Linked DNA regions of Nothobranchius furzeri. The protein of the gene in region 1 binds, or shares a complex with, the protein of each later gene. Links are inferred from orthologs where the notes say so. Each region holds a gene or a part of one and is shown on either strand. Other genes may lie near its edges.

Region 1 (3,921 bases):
CCTTGTCACCATTACCAGTGACCTACTGACAAGATGCATCTGTAGAGCAACAGGAAGTGACTGCAACTTGTGGTGAAGATGGCCAAGTCACTGGAGGCTCACTCAGACAACAGAACCAAATCTGACCAACATGACTGGCAGGTGGGTAGACACAGGGAAGAAAGACGGCGAGAGAGAGAGAAATACAGATTTTTTTATATTTATATACATATAAATATACATATATTGAGAGAGAGAGAGAGAGAGAGAGAGAGAGAGAGAGAGAGAGAGAGAGAGAGAGAGAGAGAGAGAGAGAGAGAGAGAGAGAGAGAGAGAGAATGACAGACATGAGAAAAGACAAACACTAAAACAGGCATTTACCTCTCGTGGCTTGTTGGGCATCTTTCCTACTTTTAGTTTCAGCTGGGGGGGTCCCTCCACCGTCCACTGCGGATTCTGGGGGAACTCCTGATCCGTCTGACGCCATTCCCAGTTCAGAAAGGCTCCTACGTCCCTGTTGGGCTTTGCCTTTTCCTTTACAATGAAACACGGAAGTTACTGATGAGCTAATAAAGTAAACACACATGCTGTAAATTCAACATTATACAATGTTAATTACATTTAAATCACAAATACAAACGTTTTAAGAAATGGTGTTTTATATTTATTAAAAGTACATTACCACACGGTCCTCTGTAGCTCCGTACTTTTTAGCACTCTAGAGAAACGCTGACCAACTCATTCGTAACCTTTACCCTCCTCGAACTTAACTCTGGGTAATGTAGTTTTATGTTGTCTTTCGACGAAACACGCTTCGTAAAGTCAAATGCTAGCAACACATTTTCCCATATGAAAACTATCTGCTCACAGACGACATTATTTTATTTTAAATAAATCATAAAATAGTAATTATGATTAAACTTAATCAACTCCGTGACGTACGTCATGATTTGTGTCCGAGCGCGTGACTCGAGGTCACGTGACTGTGCTGTTTGCTAACAACTCGAGACTGAGACGAGAAAGTGCTGAGAGGATTTATTCTCTTGAATTCGCGCGTTTTATACGAGACATGTAGACGAAATATTTGATTTAGCGTCACGCTTTTGTTGTTTATACATTTTTAACACAAACGAGTGAAGCAGCAGCGAGCTCCAGTCTAACTCTCAGTGCTAAAGGTGAGATCCTCTCGTTGCTGCTGGTTAAAATGGCTTAAACGGGTGTTAGCTTGTGAATAAAAACTATGTCATAAATTACGTTGATTAGATTCTCATAAACGCTTGATCCGTTTCTCAGATGAATGCTCTGGTAGCTTTGTGTCACTTCTGTGAGCTCCATGGCCCTCGGACACTATTCTGTACCGAGGCGCTACACCCTCCATCCCCAGACCCCTCCTCTCAGGTGGGCACCCCGGTTCCAGGGGACAGAGATGCTGATCGGGAGGGTGAAGGTCTGACCATGAGGGCCAGCGGGTCTGTGTCTCAAAGAGGGGAGATGTGTGAGGTGAGTGGGCATGCGTGATGGGATCTCACCCACAGTAAACCTTGGAGAAGGTTCATTCAATTCAGTTTATTTATAGTCACGACAACAGTCGTCTCAAGTCACTTCACATAGTAAACATTTCTATACAAAGGAACTCAGCAGATTGCAGTGCTCACACTAAGCAAGTGTGTAGCGACAGTGGAGTGGAAAACTCCCTTTTAGCCCCAGAAGAGCCAGGCTCAGTATGAGCAGCCACCCGCCACAACTCATTATGGTTTAAGAAGATAGAGCAGCAACATTATTTAATAATCCTGTAATCGAAGTTCTCCTTTTCCCTCCTGTCCATGCCTCACAGGGATGCCGATCTCTACCTGCGTCTCACCCAGGCTTCGTGAGCATCGATGATGAAACAGGAATTCGCTTTGTGAGCCATCAGCACCCCAGACAGTCTCAGCTTTTCAGTGTAGTTCGTCAGGCTTGTGTACGCAGTCTCAGCTGTGAGGTAAACTCTACCTGATCTAACTGAGGAGGACCTTTTCTAACCTCCCCTCCTCCAAAAACGCGAGTCTTTTTGTTGTTGGGTTTCAGGTGTGCCCTGGACGTGAAGGGCCGATCTTTTTCGGTGATGAACAACACGGGTTTGTGTTCTCACACACGTTCTTCATCAAGGACAGCCTGGCCCGTGGGTTTCAGCGCTGGTACAGTATAGTTGTAGTGGCCATGGACAGGATCTACCTCATCAACTCCTGGCCTTTCCTGTTACGACACCTCAAACTCACTATACAAAGTCTGCAAAGCACAGCTCTAAAGGTAGAGCCTAAATGTAGACTGTGCATTCATTTTTTTTTACTGGACAAACACTTTGTCATTTTAATAAGTCAGTTTGTGCTGTTTTGCCATCTTTTTGTCCATCAGGTGTTTGACACTGAACAGGGTATTTGTCCCCAGCGAGCTCTGAGGATGAACAGCGTGTTTTCTCCTGCGGTTTTTCCACATCAAAGAAGTGGCAACGCAGCCCGATCGCTAACTTCTCTCACTCAGCATCCCAATCTCTGGGCCAGCCTGCATTGCTCCTTCAGCTGGTGAGTTGAGATAGACTTTTAATAGCCAGCCATTGTGATTTCTCCACGTTACTTTTATGACTTACCAAGCTGATGTGTGTTTTCACTTCCTTTTTAGGTTACTGAAAGCCTGTGGTTGTCGTCTGACAGAAAAGCTCCTTGAAGGAGCCCCAACAGAGGACACGCTGGTTCTTCTTGAGAGAAAAACAGGTAGAAAGACATGATTTCATCAGACATTCACTGCTATGGCTAGTGTTTTTGTTTGTTCAACTAGTCAGCCTGAAATCCGTAAGAGTGAATCACAGAGTCGATCGGGAAAGGCATTTGATCCAGGAAAACATGACACACCACTTCACAGTTAAACCCCGGTTTGTCGAGATTTAGAAAGTGATTAAAAGACTTTTGGAGAATTTTTGGGGCTCGGCCCAGACACGACTGTGGAATGAACTTTGTTCATTGATAAAAAATAAAAATAAATGTCCAAACAAAAACCTTTTTTTTACATGATTCTAAATCATTTAATGGAAATGATCAATGTTTTCTTCAAAAACCACAGAGCAGCTTTGCAGTAGTCACAGCCTGGCAGCCCACAGACATTCCTGGGTGTCTCCTTCTAGCAGATTATCTAATGCGACCCCCCCCCCCCCCCCCCCCCATATACCCTATGGGCCAGCTGTTCCCAGATCAGCGCAACAGGGTTCTGGCACGCAGCAGAAAGAAACATGATATTTTCAAGTGATCTCAAATATTTGTCTGGTAATGTAGATGATAGCTAGCCTGGCCGGCCAGACTCGTCCTCTGTTTAATTCTGCACAAAGAGTCTGGTAACTCACAGGCGGAGAGGCACTTGAGGGGCGGGACTAGACAGCTCAAAAATAACCAATGAGAAAAAAGACGTACATGCCGACTGTACCATGCAACGCTGTAGTTAAAAAATGGCGTCTAGCAACGGCGCAGACATCTATTATTCTTTTAAAGTCAAAGTTAAAGTCCCATTAGTTGTCACACACACAGGTATGTGTGTGACATTTATTCTCCGCATTTGACCCATCCCCTGGGGGAGCGGTGAGCTGCAGACACAGCCGCGCTCGGGAACTATTTGGTGGTTTAAGCCCCCAATCCAACCCCTTAATGCTGAGTGTCAAGCAGGGAGGCATTGGGTCCCAATTTTTCAGTCTTTGGTATGACCCGACCAGGAGTTGAACCCCTGATCTCCCAGTCTCAGGACACTCTACCACTAGGCCACTGAGAAAGGGTAGAAGAAAGGCTTTTAGCACTTCTGCTTGTTGTGGTTCTAAAGACATTCAAGTAATTTAGAACAGAGGAAAGAGCCGCAGCGAACTCCACTTCAGGCGCCATGTTTACGACAAACTCGGCGTTATGGTGTGTGACGTACAATGCT
Region 2 (3,276 bases), on another chromosome or scaffold:
GTCTCTGCTTTATGCAGATGATGTGGTCCCGTTGGCTTCATCAGAACATGATCTCCGGCTCTCACTGGAGCGGTTCACAGCCGAGTGTGAAGCAGCTGGAATGAGCATCAGTTCCTCTAAATCTGAGACCATGGTCTTGAGTCGGAAAAGGGTAGAATGCCTTCTCCGGGTCAGGGATGAGGTCCTGCCCCAAGTGGAGGAGTTTAAGTATCTCAGGGTCTTGTTCACGAGGGAGGGAATGCTTGAGTGCAAGATTGCAGCATCGTACCACTCGATCCTTCTTTAACGCCTGAGCTGATAAAAGCATGATCTTACAACTGCTGTTGTCTGGCTATCTAAGTTCATGAGGGGGTCTATCTCAACTCCCAGGTTGGTAATGAGAGACCTCCTAAAGGGTGCCAGGGAGGACAGGTCGCCATCAGGAACTTTCCCAGGGCCATTTGTCCCTAACAGCGTGACCTTGTCATCATTGCGCCTGAGGAAATGTATTGCCATCCAGTTTCTGTCATCGAGACGGTCCAACAGGGACCGCTCAGAGGCGGCGCAGACGTTCCTAACATGACCTGATAGTCAGCTGTACTGTGTTCAGGTGAAACCAGATGCACTGCCTGCGAAGTAAAGAGAGAAAGGTGTGTGTCATGGAAACATGCAGAAAAATCATGCCAGTTATAGTTTGTTGTTTTTTAACATTCTCATCACACGTACCGTAGTTTGATGCTGTTACACGCACTTATTACAAAAATCCCTAGTGTGTGTGTGTGTGTGTGTGTGTGTGTGTGTGTGTGTGTGTGTGTGTGTGTGTGTGTGTGTCACGAAAAAAAAAAGGGAGATTGTATGATCCTTGTGATGAGTGATCAAATATTTAAAAACCGTACAATCATAACAATATGCTAAACAGTCATACTATTAGTGATGAAACGGTAAAAAAAATCACGTCATATAAAAACGTCAGACTTTCGAACAGGTTGTAAAAATATCTAAACGTATCTTGACATTTGTCCTGTTGTAAAGCAGGGTAATACTGCCCTCTCGTGGCTAAAACCACGCAGCACAGACTTCCGTAAACACTTCCGCACAAACCGGAAATAAGCCCCGTATGTCATGTGACTTAGCTGGTAGCTGGTAGCTCTTGTTTAGCATGTAGAGCGTCTCAGCGGTGTTTAAAGTCATCTGAAGACGGTATTTGTGCATTTTTTATAGCTTATGTGTGTTTTGTTTAGCGGGCCGTTTGTACCGGAAGCAGCATCTCTGTTGATTAGCTGACATGCTAGCTTGTTTTATTTAAACTTGAGTGTAGACTTTGAGTTAGTGGTTTTTGTGGGAGGTTTTATTTGTTAACATTCGTTTTCTGCCCACAGAGACTTAACTAGATCAGACCGTCATGGCAGACGTGAGTATGACCAGTTTTCTCAATTTTAAAGAACTTTTACAGTTTTTTAAACAAAGTAAGCTAGGTGTGTTTATGTTGCAAACGGAGACGGTTCATTTTGGTGTTTTCTAAGGTCTGATCAGATGCAGCTTAAAGCAGATTTCTCTAGAAGCTGTTTTAATCAGTTAAATGAGTCACGAGTCTGAGATTGATTTGTTTTGTCTTGAGACGCTGAAATAGGAATTAAACCAGCAACCAGACATTTAAAGCAGCAGTCTTTTTATTATTTTGCGTCCAGTTGTCATTTTGTTCACACAGCACTGATGGAGTGGTTTGTTGTCTTACTTTTATAATAAAATGTTTAATCCAGTTTTTGTGGGTTTCTCTGCAGGATTTGAAGAGATTCCTGTACAAACAGCTCCAAAGGTTGGTGTTTCCATGGGAACGCTCAGTGTTTCACCCGTATGTAGTTGTTACTGATCCATTTAAACTCTCCCAGTGTTGAAGGTCTTCATGCCATCGTAGTGACGGACCGAGACGGTGTTCCAGTTGTGAAAGGTAAGGAGCCAGTGCTAAAGTCCTCCTCACCTGCCCGGGTAAGGGGGCCATGTCCTCATTTCTCATTTTTACAGTTGCCAATGACAACGCCCCCGTCCAAGCGCTGAGACCCGGTTTCTTGTCCACCTTCGCTCTGGCCACAGATCAGGGCAGCAAACTCGGCCTGTCCAAGAACAAGAGCATCATCTGCTACTACAACTCCTACCAGGTCACACAGCAGCTCCTCTGAGCGTCGGCACAGGGATGCATTAATGTTCATGCCTTTACATAAGTCTCCATGGTGATGCGTGTTTCTTAATCAGATTGTGCAGTTCAATCGCCTCCCCCTGGTTATCAGCCTGATCGCCAGCAGCGGTGCCAACACAGGTAACATCTGTCTCTATGGAGACAAACAGATGTTCAGTCTGGTTCAGTGTTCTGTTCTGTGTTCTCAGGTCTGATCATGAGTCTGGAGAAGGAGTTGACTCCTCTAATAGAGGATCTGAGGCAGGTGGTGGAGGTGACATAGTCTCCGACTCACCAGAAGACTTGCTGCTCACCACCATCCTCACGATGTGTTTGGGTTCTGTAGGAAATTCTGCCTGCAGCTTGTTCAGTGTGGACCAGATTCATTCACGTTGCTGTAAATGTTTCCATCTGTGCTTTTAGTCTGAATAAATGTGTGGGTTCTGGGCACCAGAGTGGTTCATTTAGAGTTAAACCTAAAGAATACAGATAAGAACCTCAGAGCAGACGGAGTCCAGATGGTTTCAGAGGCTTTAATTTAAACATTCATCAGTCATGAACAAAGTGTTTCCACAATAAAACTGGTTCTCCTGCTTCTGGAAACTCACATTCTCATGTGGAGATATAAATAAGCCACTCACATGTCAGTTCTACCCACAATGCTTTGCTGCTGGCATACAGCATGGCGAGCATCAGAACCCTGACATGTCTGAGCTTCCAGCTAACTGGTGAAGCAGTTGATCTTCTGATGGACCCATAAAGATCTTCAGAATGAACAGAATTCATTTAAAATATGAGTCCTGTTCCGGATGGTTCTCATTCACCGTTTCCACGACAACCTGGAGGAGGAAGCTGCAGACGAGTGTCATCGGCCTCTTCTTACCTGAGACTGGAAACACATAGTTGGTGGATTAATGGTTGAAACTGTAAATACATTCAGAAGTATCAAGTCCTCTGAGCTTCAAGGCTCCTTGGACTCGTCGGTTAATTGAAACATGAGGGAAATGGATCAGCTGGACTCACATCCAGAGACGTGCATCTTCATCTAACCTACTTTCTCCAAGACTGAGATCATGTCCACCTGACTTCCTGTAGAGGTCATGACCTCAGGCCACCAGCTCCCT

What was found.
Region 2: flcn (region 1) and lamtor3 share a complex: the UniProt entries of both Homo sapiens proteins name them as parts of the lysosomal folliculin complex. The link is inferred for Nothobranchius furzeri from reciprocal best matches to the Homo sapiens genes FLCN and LAMTOR3.

What each region holds. Positions count from the first base shown.
Region 1 is NC_091745.1:76,768,505-76,772,425, reverse strand, and holds the start of flcn (folliculin), read left to right. Parts: upstream 1-947; 5' UTR 948-1,154; intron 1,155-1,272; coding exon 1,273-1,479; intron 1,480-1,813; coding exon 1,814-1,960; intron 1,961-2,046; coding exon 2,047-2,268; intron 2,269-2,373; coding exon 2,374-2,540; intron 2,541-2,637; coding exon 2,638-2,729; intron 2,730-3,921. Other genes in the region: leng9 (leukocyte receptor cluster member 9), read right to left, coding at 361-466. UniProt on the Homo sapiens protein: Multi-functional protein, involved in both the cellular response to amino acid availability and in the regulation of glycolysis.
Region 2 is NC_091758.1:44,827,905-44,831,180, reverse strand, and holds lamtor3 (ragulator complex protein LAMTOR3), read left to right. Parts: upstream 1-1,062; 5' UTR 1,063-1,179; intron 1,180-1,358; 5' UTR 1,359-1,381; coding exon 1,382-1,390; intron 1,391-1,760; coding exon 1,761-1,795; intron 1,796-1,868; coding exon 1,869-1,927; intron 1,928-2,001; coding exon 2,002-2,135; intron 2,136-2,229; coding exon 2,230-2,293; intron 2,294-2,361; coding exon 2,362-2,435; 3' UTR 2,436-2,600; downstream 2,601-3,276. Other genes in the region: dapp1 (dual adapter for phosphotyrosine and 3-phosphotyrosine and 3-phosphoinositide), read right to left, coding at 3,018-3,041. UniProt on the Homo sapiens protein: As part of the Ragulator complex it is involved in amino acid sensing and activation of mTORC1, a signaling complex promoting cell growth in response to growth factors, energy levels, and amino acids.